2 linked regions of the Drosophila melanogaster genome follow. The gene in region 1 interacts genetically with each later gene. Each region holds a gene or a part of one and is shown in the gene's direction. Other genes may lie near its edges.

The links.
Region 2: of Lsd-1 (region 1) and mrt, changing one suppresses a phenotype caused by changing the other (phenotypic suppression), as found in Drosophila melanogaster (one study listed by BioGRID).

The regions. Positions count from the first base shown.
Region 1 is NT_033777.3:23,762,355-23,767,398, forward strand, and holds Lsd-1 (lipid storage droplet-1), read left to right. Parts: upstream 1-1,883; 5' UTR 1,884-1,958; coding exon 1,959-1,962; exon of another isoform or gene 1,963-2,031; coding exon 2,032-2,330; intron 2,331-2,394; coding exon 2,395-2,605; intron 2,606-2,746; coding exon 2,747-2,824; intron 2,825-3,157; coding exon 3,158-3,342; intron 3,343-3,521; coding exon 3,522-3,712; intron 3,713-3,775; coding exon 3,776-3,953; intron 3,954-4,019; coding exon 4,020-4,169; 3' UTR 4,170-4,308; downstream 4,309-5,044. Other genes in the region: udt (undicht), read right to left, coding at 1-76, 195-613, 703-751; CG10214 (uncharacterized protein), read right to left, coding at 4,409-5,044. UniProt on the Drosophila melanogaster protein: Required for normal deposition of neutral lipids in the oocyte.
Region 2 is NT_033777.3:27,276,600-27,284,346, reverse strand, and holds mrt (martik), read left to right. Parts: upstream 1-1,685; 5' UTR 1,686-1,730; intron 1,731-2,499; exon of another isoform or gene 2,500-2,594; intron 2,595-3,316; exon of another isoform or gene 3,317-3,362; intron 3,363-3,635; exon of another isoform or gene 3,636-3,770; intron 3,771-3,917; exon of another isoform or gene 3,918-3,986; intron 3,987-4,304; 5' UTR 4,305-4,355; coding exon 4,356-5,169; intron 5,170-5,243; coding exon 5,244-6,757; 3' UTR 6,758-7,098; downstream 7,099-7,747. Other genes in the region: CG3368 (uncharacterized protein), read right to left, coding at 1-389, 443-505; CG5938 (uncharacterized protein), read right to left, coding at 7,610-7,747.

The DNA.
Region 1 (5,044 bases):
ACTGCGTTCCTGCCGTTTGACAGGACTGAATGCGAGCGTCGGGCTTATCGCATACGCCCGTGAATCGGAATCGGTTCTATAATAAAAGTTCAAATCAAGATCACTAATCAACATAAAATGGATATGTTTCTAGACCCTTAACTAAACCGCACCATGTGCAAATTATGTGATCTATGAATCTATTTTGATCTTACCTGGTACGTAAAATGCCACACTCCCTCCAGCGACGATCGGCAGTTGATGGGCACAAAGTTCTCGTTAAAGAGCGTTATCAACTGCTGGTCATCCTTAACACCACGACACACATAGTCCACGGTGGGTTCCTGTCCAGCGGGTATGCCCACGCAGGGCCCCTCAAACTTTTCGAACACATTAAGGGTGCGGATGATGGTCCTGACACAGTGATAGCAGTCCTTGGATCGCTCCTTGAAGACAAATGAGTACTCGTCGCCCTTGTGGCGCATGTAGTTGATGCAGTAGCCTCGGCTGGACATCGAGGTGGCGTCGATCACCGTCAGCGTGGGCAGGCCCGTTTCCCACGAGAACCACGATCCCTGCAGGATCTTTGGAATGATGCAGTTGTCCTTCTGCACCAGGTTGTACTGACCGAGGGCTGTAAAATGGATGGGCTTTAGTTTCGGGTGGCCAATTCACATGATTCACTTGGAGCCTTGGGTGTGGCTTGGGAATCGAATCACTGACCTGAGCCCATTAAGCCCACCAGGCAGATAGCAGCCAGGTAATAATGCATTGCGTGTTTGGTGTCCTCAGAACTAACAACTAAACATATTTATTACAATTTACTTTCAAATGGAAGCAACCAAAGGCGGTTTTAGTCAGAAACAATAGCAAAACACGCAACAAACACAAATTACCAATGATGGGCAAAGGCGACCTTACTAACACTGGCTTTAACGAAGAGCTAGCTGCACAGCACTGGCTGATAGCTATTAATCCACTCTTTATCAAATTGAGCGTTACTTTTTGAACTTAAAAATAGAGATTAATATTATTTACATATATGTATTTTTTTACGACTTTTCCTGGATAATCTAGACTCAAGTTTATGCTGTATGCAGCATAACTACTTCGTTGTATGCAATAGCTAATACAAATATATAATATCAACTCTTTTAACAATTCCTAAGAAAAATCGTTTCTATTAAAACGCTTTTTAGACTTACTCTATAATCTTAATGACACGTACTCAGACAACAAAGAGCTGTAAAAGATTAACCCAACCATACATTTTGTAATGAAATATTATTACTTGAACCTCAAGTTTAAATTTTTAATTAGCACTAGTTGAGCTATTACATACACATTGCCGTTTAATACAATTAGATATGAGATTTATTAATAAAGCTTAATTTATAAAAAAAAATGTTTCCATATCTATATATAGATTTGAATAAACACGCTTTTTGCAGTCTAGGGTTAATGGCAATGGAGTCTGGAGCCCCAGAAACGGGCACATCGAACCCGAGGAAGAACGCCCCCGCAATTATTCAACGGACTGCAGTTTGAACCTTTTCGTCACTTGTGCGGAATTAGCACAGCAATTTTCGCCATTACCGCTGCTAATCGGGTCATATATGGTGCGATTATGATCGCTGTACAGATATTCCTGGAATGTGATTCACATGCACGGAGTTCCTAAGCTGCAGTCCCCATATAGTACGTTCGAACTTTGGAGTCCCACACTAGTGCGAATGGCGTGTTTGCTGATAAGTCCGGCGGAGCGTCTAGGTGAACGGTGTTTGTGCCTCCATCCACGCCTTATCTGCTGGCAAAGGTCATCTTGGACTCCGAGCATGATCGGCGATCAGACAGCGGCGATTTGGTGTGCCAAGTCTATATGGTAGCAGCTCGATCGGAGGCCTGCCAGTATCAATTGAGCCGGCGACAGCAACAGTTCTCGCATCTCAACCGAATCTTCTCGAGAAATCCCAACACAAATGGGTTAGTGACACGCGCTGCCTGGTAGTGTCAACCCCCATTAATAATACGACTTTAAATCTTTGAACCCAGCAACTGCAACCAGCGGCAGTGGACTCCATCTGGAGGCCATCGATCGCATCGGCTCCATTCCCCTTGTGGAATCCAGTGTGAAGCGGGTGGAGACCATCTACGATAAGGTGAAGAACAACAATAGGCTATTCTCATGGTATTTTGAGACGGCGGAGGCCACCATTTCGGCCGCCTACGAAACCATCCAGCCGGCGGTCAAGCTCTTCGAGCCATCCATTCAGCGCCTGGACAACGTGATGTGCAAAAGCCTGGACATTCTGGAGCAGCGCATACCACTGGTCTATCTGCCGCCCGAAATGGTAAGTAGTCGGCTAGTAACTCCCCCCCATGCGCTGACAAAAGGGCATAATTCTCTGCTTGAAGATGTACTGGAACACCAAGGAGTACATGTCCGATCACCTGGTGCGTCCGGTTCTGAAACGCGCCGATTCTGTCAAGCAAATCGGTAATGCTGTCCTCGAGAGTCCACTTACCACTTATGCAGCCGAGCGCATTGATGGCGCTTTCACAGTCGGCGATAAGTTCGTGGACAAGTACCTGGTGCCCATCCAAACAGATCAGGATCAGACCGATGGTGAGTCCTGGTATCTCACATCTGGGTTAATCTTCAAACGCATGTTGGGGAATCTATTACATTTCATTTTATTTTAAACTGAAGTTCTTATATTTTGGCACTTTTACTAAACTAACTATTTATAATTCAAAATTGTTGTAGTGAAAAAATTGGTTTCGGCCCTGAATGATAACTTTTCGCCGATTCGACAACAATTAAACCGAATGTTTGGCCACAAAAGTTAGTATGCAAAATTACATATTTCTCCATATAACTAGAGATAATCAAAATCATATGAAAGATAGTTTAGTTTGCCAAAAGTTTTACATAAAAAGTAAGCGAAAGCAAGTGATTTGAAAAGTCAGCATCCAGGCAAATCACCTTAAGGTGCACTCATCTCATAGTTTATTTATAAATGCCCACGTTGTCGGGAAGGTTATCTCTGGGGAACGGCGGATTCATTGAAACCTGAAGCCAGAGAAAGTTGCGATAAGCTGAGCTCTGGCCGGAATTTGCTCTCTCATGCTCAAAAAAAATTGTATAAGACACTTATTCCGAGTATCCGCCTTGCAGGCCCACAGGAGGATGATAACGAGGCCGTGCCGGACGAGAGGGGCGCCATCAAGGCGATCCATCATGGTCAACGCTTCTCCCGCAAACTGAAGCGCCGCCTTACCCAAAGAACCATCGCAGAGGCTCGCGCCCTCAAAAAGCAGAGCAAGGAGGCGATCCACGTGCTCTTCTATGCCGCAGAATTGGTCAGTAAAATTCAGTAACCTATTTGCTTTAATTTTTGAGTATCATTTGGTAAAAAAAAAAACCATAAGATTACAGTAACCAATTCAAATTACTTACGAAATGATTACGCAATGTCTGTTTGTATTCTGGTGTACAACCGTAACCCAAATAACACTTTTAAACGAAACCCATTCCACAGATTGCCACCGATCCCAAGCAGGCCGTTCAAAAGGCCAAGGAACTGTGGGTCTATCTCAGTGCAGATGAACCCGAAAATCAAGCGAGGCCCGCCACTCTGGAGCAGTTGATTGTGCTACTGACCCGCGAATCGGCTAGGCGTGTGGTTCATCTAGTGAACTTCAGTGCTCATGTGGCAGCCAACATACCCAGGTTGGTAGATCCCGCCTCCATCCTTATCTTTCCATGTGAACCCCTTCGAACCAAACCTTACAGAAACCTGGCGCACACGACAACAGAGGTTGCCCACCATATTATCTATATCAACCACCGCATCATCACAATCTCACGGCTGGACAAGGTTAAAACCATCTCCAAAGAGGAAGCTGAATCTCTTTTCAAGCGCATGCTGGCGTTCTATGGTAGCCTTCAGGGCCTGACCAATGCCTACCTGGTAAGAAAGGATGTGATACTAGCAGTCAGACGGAAGATGATTATATATATTAAATATATTCGACAGGAGCGCGTGGCCAGCTTTCTATCCGGACGCATGGAGGCCGAGAAGGTGACGGGCAGCGATGGCGGCAATTCCAACCACCGGTCATCGCGGAGGAGGCAGGATCCGAACCATTATTCAGCCACCCACAATAACATCAACGGCGTCTACTAGCATTGAATTCTTTATTGCTATCGTATTTTTATTTCTGTTTCTCCGTGCATATACGGAAAATACACTAAACGATATTGTACATCTATTTTTAACATAATGCATTTGTCAATAATATAAGCCTAACTTCACGCTTAACAATACAACGCGGACTTTTATCCAAAATTATTATAGACTCATATTGCCAATAAAGCATTAGGTATTGAAAGAATTCCTAGGGTGCTTTAAATTCTTGCTTTAATTTATTTAAATAAGTTCGCTTTGTAATACGCAAGCTCTTTGATGCTTTCTCGGATGTCGTCCAGACTACGATGCGTGAAAGATTTTTTGGGAGCGGAATCCAGAATTGCGGGATGCCATCGCTTGGCCAGTTCCTTGATGGTGGACACATCGACGATGCGGTAATGCAGGTAAGCATCTACCAATGGCATGAATTTCATAATGAATAGTCGGTCGGTGTAGACGGAGTTCCCACCAAGCGGACAGGCGCGCTTTGGTATGTTCTTCTCGAGATAGGATAGCACTAGATTGGAGGCTTCTTCGAGATTCACATCCGAGCTCTTGCATCGATCAATAAGACCTGAATTGTAATGATGTTTCATGCACCACTCGTTCATCGAGTCGTAGACCTCCTGCGGATGGTTGATGGCAAAGCATGGTCCCTCCGACTTCACGTTCAGGTCCTGGTCCGTAATGATGCAGGCCACCTCGAGGATTTTGTCCTTTTCAATGTCCAGCCCGGTCATCTCCAAGTCCATCCACACGATGTCCGTGTCTAAGCCACAGGTGCTGCTCATTCTGTCATTTGAATTGAATGCGATGTGGCTCCGAATTTGGCGGTTCAGGGACAATCCGACGCGTCGAAGGTGAGCAAGCAT
Region 2 (7,747 bases), 3.5 Mb from region 1:
TTGGGGAACTTCTTTACCAGCAAGTTTGTGGCCTTCAGCACGGCCATCAGGCTGGGATTGTTGCGCTGCAGAGCCTCAATTATGGCAGTGGTGCATTTTTCCTCCAGCAGCGCAGCATCGAGACGCTTCCAATGGTCGGTGAGCAGAATGGATTGGAGCATCAGGAAGGCAGTGGGTTGCTCGCTGGTCAAACGCTGGAAAAGATCCGCGAAGTGCGAGTCTTGTAGTTCGTACTTGTGCACTATGTGGTAGTACACACGGAAGCTAATGTTCAGGGCGGCTTGATTGGCACCACTGCACGTGTCCGCCTGCGCCGCCTCATCCTCCTCCGTCTGTATTCGTTGGGCCAGCTGCAGTGCGGCATCCTCCGGGCGGACATCTCCCAGGCCCTAGAAAGAACACAATATGTTACACCTCAGTCCCCGTGCCGTACTCAATTCACCTGCAGGTAGCAGAGGCAATCGCTGGGTCCGATTTTTGGCCGTTTTCCCGGAGATTCCGACATGCCCAATCTCAATTCTCACAACTTTCGTCTTACCACAACCAGGGCTCCACAAAACCGGCCACTGCGCTACGATAATTGCGCGGTAATCGATAATCGATGGCTTTTCGTTATCTAAAAACTTGAAACGCCCAACCGTTGTTGATTAAAAATTATGTTTCCAATTAATGTGACATATAATTTTTATATTTATCATTTATAGCGGTACCAAGTACTTCGTTTAGAGACTCAGTGTTTAAAATTTTCGTTATATTTTGTGAGGGATGGCTGTCTGGTAATGTTAACTAGGTACAGGGTACTGTATTCTGTTTTCTTTTACAGCGTTTTTAAATATTAAAAAGATGATAAATTTTTTTTTTTTTTAATAAACTTTATTAACAACAATCTTTGAATATAAAGCTTTCACAAAGCAGCTGTTTGATACAACCGATAAAATTAATTCGATAGCAGAAATTGCAGATCCGTAAGTTCAAAAGTTTTCTTGACAACCACAGCGCGTACAGGAAACGAGAAAAATATAATATTTTAAAGGTATTTCATGCAATCGATATAACAAACCGAAGACCAAATTGGCTCTTTGTTTTTTCAAGTGAGTGCTCCCTACAAAGTTCGTTATGATAAGAAAATGCATGTGTTTGTGCTCTTGGATTCAATGCTTGCAAGGTTTGCCTCGCGTTTTGTTTATTTATTTGCATACATGAAATTCAGATAAACGTGTGGATTTTCCTAGAACTGGTGCCATGCGTAATTAATGCAAATGCTTTCCGCATTTCCCAGCGTCGTGCTGCTCATCCACAGAGAATAGCTGCAGCCGATTTCAAGTTTCCTGTTCTGGCATCGCTCCCAGTTCGAAAACTCCAGCTTCCCCGCAACCCATCTTTTCGGTCCGCCCAATACTTGTAAATCTAGTTTCGACTGACTTCAGCACATGGCTTTCAGATGCGATACGAGATACAACCTATTCGCATTCTCGGCATCTGCCACCCCGAAAATTTCAAGGAAGCTCGGCTGAATGCGAATTTTTTGAACCAGTATTCAGCAGGTCGCCTATGTACTCGGTGTACATGGAGTTCTTATGCCGCAAAGGGGTAGTTTCTCACCTGTAAGAGGATTCACGAAAACCTTGTTTACCACACAGCTTGGCAGAAGCTCGATTTCCTACTGAGAATCCAATTTACAGTAGTCTCCCGTCGACAAGAACCTGAAATCGAATACCCAAAGGCCTAAGGTAATTCGATATCTTTGCTATTACACAAAAAGCAAGTTATTACAGTCGAGTGCGATTATCTGCGTTCACTTTGCTCTGACTACAGTGCGCACCAAAAGTAATCTCCCACAAGAACTTTGAAATGCTATAGTTAAATCCGTTAAGCCGTGAGTTTCGCTTTATTTTTAAATACTATTGCTCAGTTTCTAAGCTCAGTTATCCAACGGGCTTAAATCTCCAAAGTTTCAAACCTTTGAGCTAACACTCTTAACTTAATCTGCAATATTGAATTTAAAGATTATAGATAGTCTGAAACTTTCCGTTAGAGTCTTCTTCACTTCACGGAGAATGGCAGACGAGCGGAAAACAAAACTTGAAAAATCATTATACTCGATTTCAACATGTGTATACTACATTAAAACTGTAGCTTTTTGCAGTTTTTATTTGCTGTGTGTGTGTGTGTGTGTGTGTGTACGCGCGCGAACCCATAAATTTATATATTCCCCGAAATAACCCCGTTCTTAAAAAAAGAGCGGAATAAAAACGTAAATGGCAGCGAAAGAAGAAAAGGCGAAATAAAAAATAATAGGCAACTGTCTCTCCGGCAATCTCTCGCAATCTCAAAAACAACTAGCGACCATAACCATTATTTGTACCTTCCGAATACGAATACGAATACAAGTACGAACACGAATATATAACGTCGTAGCGCACACGCACACCAGCACAGGTGGCCGTTTATATAGTTGGGTTTTTGTAGGCCCGTTCGTCGCTTTTTCGAGTTTTAAAAATTAGTATTGAAATCGTCGTTAACGGCGACGGTTTGCCTCAGTTTTGACGCTTGAAAACGGTCGTATTTTCCACTCTCTCGCCGCTCTCTCGCTGGTAAGTGTGTGTGCAGTGAGCGAGCGCGTGCATGTGTTTGTGTGCAAGGTGTTGCTCTGCTTGGAAATAAATAAATAGTTCAAGTCGAACGAACTATTTGAAACTAATTGGCAGGCATGTGCATTAAGTTATCAACCGTTGCCATTAGCCGATTAGCGAAAAATGCCAGACAAAATATCACTTGTCAATAATGGATGTTAGTCACTGTGAAGGAAAGTTACGTTCTGTTTCTTTTTCTTGAAAAATTCTCAACTGCACATAACAAGCGTAAATTCGTTCGTCCCCGTCCGTGTGTGTGTGTGGGTGAGCCGAGCTGTGGCGAGAGCAAGACAGCGAGTTTAGTTCACTCTCTCGGCTCTCGCCAACCCGCACACCACCCCCCCCCCCCTACACCGTGCTCCATCTATTGGCTTATTATCGTATCTTTTTCATTACAGTGCTCTGCAGGCGATTTAAATTAAGTTGGCAATTACATTTCCATCTGGGAATTCAGTGGTTAGTGTGCCAGTTCGGAATTAGTTTGTTAATTGGGGCTGCCAAGGAAGAATCCGCCATGCAGAGCACACATCATGTGATATGTCATTCTGAAAGCTGCTTTTCGAACAACCCCCAACCACTGTGCGAATCTTGGTCGTCGTCGCTGGAAAAATACTCAAAATTTGAGATTCGATTCTAGTTTCAACCCGCCACTATGAATCTTTATATGTAACTTGCCCGCTTTCATTCATACTCGTTGTTCAGTACTGGCGGCGTATCATCCTCCGAATTGTAAGATGCGTAATCGGTTCTTAAATGTGTATTTCTACGCTGTATTCGGTTTTCGGCATTCGACGCTATCTTGTTTACTTGCATTTGGAAATCACTATCTCAAATATGTTCTGTTATTGAGCGTGTTCCACTTGCCACTTTGTCGCAGTGTATCTGTGTGCGGGAGAGTTCGTTTTTTACGTTAGCTTTTTGCTGTCATTCGTTTTGAAATAATCAAAATCGATAAAAAATTATATATATATATACATATAAGTTTCGTCGCTTTAGATTTGTAAGCTCTTTTCGTGCATTTATTTGGCTACGGCGAGCGTGTCGGTGAGCTGCCACCTTTGATGGGTTTCGATTTCGATTTCGGTTTCGGAATGTGTTAAACAGTTGGAAACACGTCAACTTTACACAAACAAATGTGTATGTGCCAGTAAATATCGAGTTGGTGGTGGATTCTGAAGACGAAAACCGAAACCTAACCGAATCCACGACTGCCTAACTTTTGACACAAAAAGTCCAAAACTGGATTTTTTCGTTGGCTCGTAGCCAGCATTTTTTTTTTAAACCATCTGCCAAGTGAATTTCCAGTGGGCAGAAGTATACATATCAAACGGAAGTCGATTTGCTGATTGAGAAGTTAGAATCCGAATCATATTTAATCAAGTTTTTCTGCAGTTTAAAATACCTATGTGATTTATGTAATATAGCCTTCAAATGAAGCGCGTAGCATGCTTTTAGTATAAATAAAATTTGATTACTAAAACAAGATTGAAGTAGTCATTTTTGGGCACAGAATGCCTACTATATGAATATGACTGACAATGTGTCTAAAAACTGAATTTTCGAGTTTTCCAAAACTGGTTATGACATCGGTTGTCAAGTCAATATTTCGTGGTTTTCGAAAACCAATTTTTAAACTAATATTGGAATATTTTCTTGCTTGTTTTCCAACAGCATCGGGAATTTAAGACCTTGATCAAAGGGTGCACCCTGAGAGCCACATCCATGTTAATGCCTCGCTACTTGGATAGCTCCACGTCGTCTGGCAGTCACGGAGCTGCAGGAGCGACCAACAGCTCCTCCTCTCCGCCGACGACGGTGGCCGCTCACACGAAGATGCGGCTGCTAAGTAAAGTGGAGCACAACATGCGTCAGAGCCAAGGTCACATCCAGAGCAACCAGAGCAACGCGAGCGGCCAGGACATCAACCACCTCCTGCACACGGCCTCCACGGGCAACGGCGTGGTGGACGATGTCGACGGACTGCTGACGCCCATGCGCATTAAGGCGCACATGTCGCCACCCTACTCCGCCGGCAGTTCGGTGAAGAGCGATTCCCTCGGCTATAGCCCTCGGCCGGAACGCAACCTGTGGAGCCGGGCCGAAATGCTGGAGATGCTGAGCATCATGCAGAACCTGAACGCCCTCGAGCAGCTAAACGACCGGAACATGAAGAGCGAGCAGGTCTTCCGGCAGATCGAAGAGGTGATGCGCAGCAAGGGCTTCGTGAAGAAGTCCAGCATTCAGATCTGGACAAAGTGGAAGTTCCTCAAGTCCACGTACAACACAACAACGCGACATGGTACGGGTGTGCCCAAGGTGGTGCCGGAGGAGGTTTACCGCGTGCTCTGCCGGATGTTAAGTGATACAAATCATGGCGGCGGCAACAGCAATGTCAACGGCAGCCTTAGTGAATGCGGCAATTCGATGGACAGTTCCAAGACGGCGGGCGATGATAACAAGGAGGATATTCTCGGAGTGGAGCATCCCATATTCGGCTTCCGACTGGGACCCATTAAACCCGAGCCAATTGATATAGGTGAGTGGGATTGTCAAAATGAAAGTATGTTAAGAGAGTCATTACTGAAAACACGTACCATTCTATATTTGCAGGCTATGAGACGACCGAAAAACATGATATGGTGTCCGAGCCCGACATGGAGTCGTTCGACTACGAGGCAGGAAGCTCCCATGCCGACAACGGCGACCAGGAGGATGTGCCCCACTTGCCGTTTATAGTGTCCGTTAAACATGAACCCGACGTGGATCTGGGCATGGACACCACCAACACACCGCCGCCCACAGCGCCAGCCTCGCCTTCACCGCCACCAGTAACTGTGGATGACACCGAAGATGACAGCGTTTACTCATCCACGCCGGTGGCACCACCTCCCCTGCGTGTGGCCTCCTTTGCCAAGGGCGAGTTGCGACGACCCACCCACGGCATACTGCAGATCGACCGCCCGCCACCGACGCTCACCAAGATGGGACAGCAGCAGATACCCAATCCGGGCCAGATGAGCCGGTCCGTGCCGCTTCAGAGCACCAGCAGCATAAACTTTGTCCACCCACACAGCAAGTTAATGTTACCGAGAAGGCAGAATCCGAATAGCAGTCAGTCCGGGCTGCGACTGCCCAGGGATATCAGTGTCCAGTCGACAGGAATGCGTATGAAGACGGTGCCAATGAGGGACACGGGCTACTCGCTGCGTCCGGATCGAATGACTCACGACATCGATCAGTCCACGTCCAGTCCACCGCAGTCGCCGTCCACAATGTCCAGTCTCTTGGGTCGCGGGCCGCCACCGAAGTATCAGATAGCTGGTCAGCAAGCAGGTGCTTCCACCAGCAGGCAGGCCCACATGATGTCTTCCCACCAGCTGACACCGGTGCAGCACCAACAGCTCCAGCCGCGAAAGCGTCGATTGGGCCAAAGTCCGGTGATGGGAATGCCCGTGCCGGTGAAACTGCAGCGCAGCAGTAATATGTACGGCTCAGCTCCGAAAGATATCCGATCTCACCCTGCGGTTGGCGAGGAGAGCAAAAAGAAGTCCAGCGAGGAGGAGACCAAGCAGCGCAGAAAGCGTCAGGACGAGCTGCTGGCCAAGGAACTCAGCCAACTGGCTTCTGCCATGCGCACGGCACAGAAGGAGATGTTGCAAGACTTCTTCCTCCAACAGAAGGAGATCGCACGGCGGGAGCACGTGTTCCAGATGAAGCAGGACTCGTTGGTAATGCGGACGCTGCGCAGACAAACAGATGCGCTGCTGAGAACAGCCAACGAGCTGGTCAGTGGAGTTTCCGAGGCAGCTAAAATGGAGCCCGACGATAAGGAAGGTGTCATTCCCGAAACTCAAATGCCGTTCGAGCCAGAAACCGAGCTTCAGACTCCGGAAAGCGAGGAGGACAATGAAAATGGAGAAGGGTATGCTGGCGATGATGTGCAGGAAACTATGGAAGAGCCAGATTATGAAGACAATGAAGATGATGATTATGAGCACGATGAGGACGAGGAAGACGAAGGCGACTACGACGAGAACATGGCCAATGACAGCGACCTGGAAATGTCCAATCTAGCCATGTCCGAGGGCTCCAACAATGCCGAAATCATTAGCGGAGGGCACTAGATGGCTATCTCCTAACTTCCTAACACATCGCCAAGTATTACCCCAAAAAGACAAACACCATTGTTAATACCGATTCATTCCAATCGCATTCCTTAAGCTATATATACTAACCATATATATATATATATATATTCCTAGAGCCAGACCCGCGCATTGTTAAAAGACTTGATTATATTTAAGCATTAATACATAAATGAAACCTAAAGTAAATTAAAATGTATTTATTGTTCATCAACCGTCTATGCCCCAAAGTGCTGTAAAGTTATTGAAACCACAAAATACTTAGGTAACCATATGATATATATCAAAATATATATGTACCTTGTACATTACATGAACAGAATATGTGTGAATTTGTTCGGGTATCGAAAGTGGGCTTTGAATTCTTAGTTGAAAAATATTCATTTACTATGAATGCAGTTAGAAAAACACATTTTCGAAATCACTGTAAATTTCCTAACACGAAATTTATTAAATAGTATTGCATTAGTTTGGGAAACAAATAAGAATTTACAACTAAACGAAAAACAGAAAAAGTAGAGCGCCCTAAAGTTACGAGAAATCAAACTTACCGCCTAGAGTTCTTGCAAAATTTTGTTATAAACCGAACATGAAATAGTAGCTAGCTTAAAATGACAATCTGCGAGTGCACTAAATTAGTTAATGCCCATTGTGTGTGCTGTGCCTGCGCCTGTCCTGTCCTATGGATTAGTGTACCTATACTCTCTGCTGATTAGCACGATCCGTAAACGCCTAAAGCAAAGTGTTAGCAGCTAGTGTTTATTTTACAATTACCATTACGACAACCCCGCGACCCTGTGATACCACGCCCCTCCTCCTCCACGACGGCACTTAGTCGGGCCGGTAGATGGGCGTTTTGGGTATAAATTCAATTAAAATAACATACTCCATCATGGAATTGGAATCACATTGTTGCTTATGCAGTCGCCAGTGCAGGCCCAGCTTATGATATAGATGATTGTTCTCCCA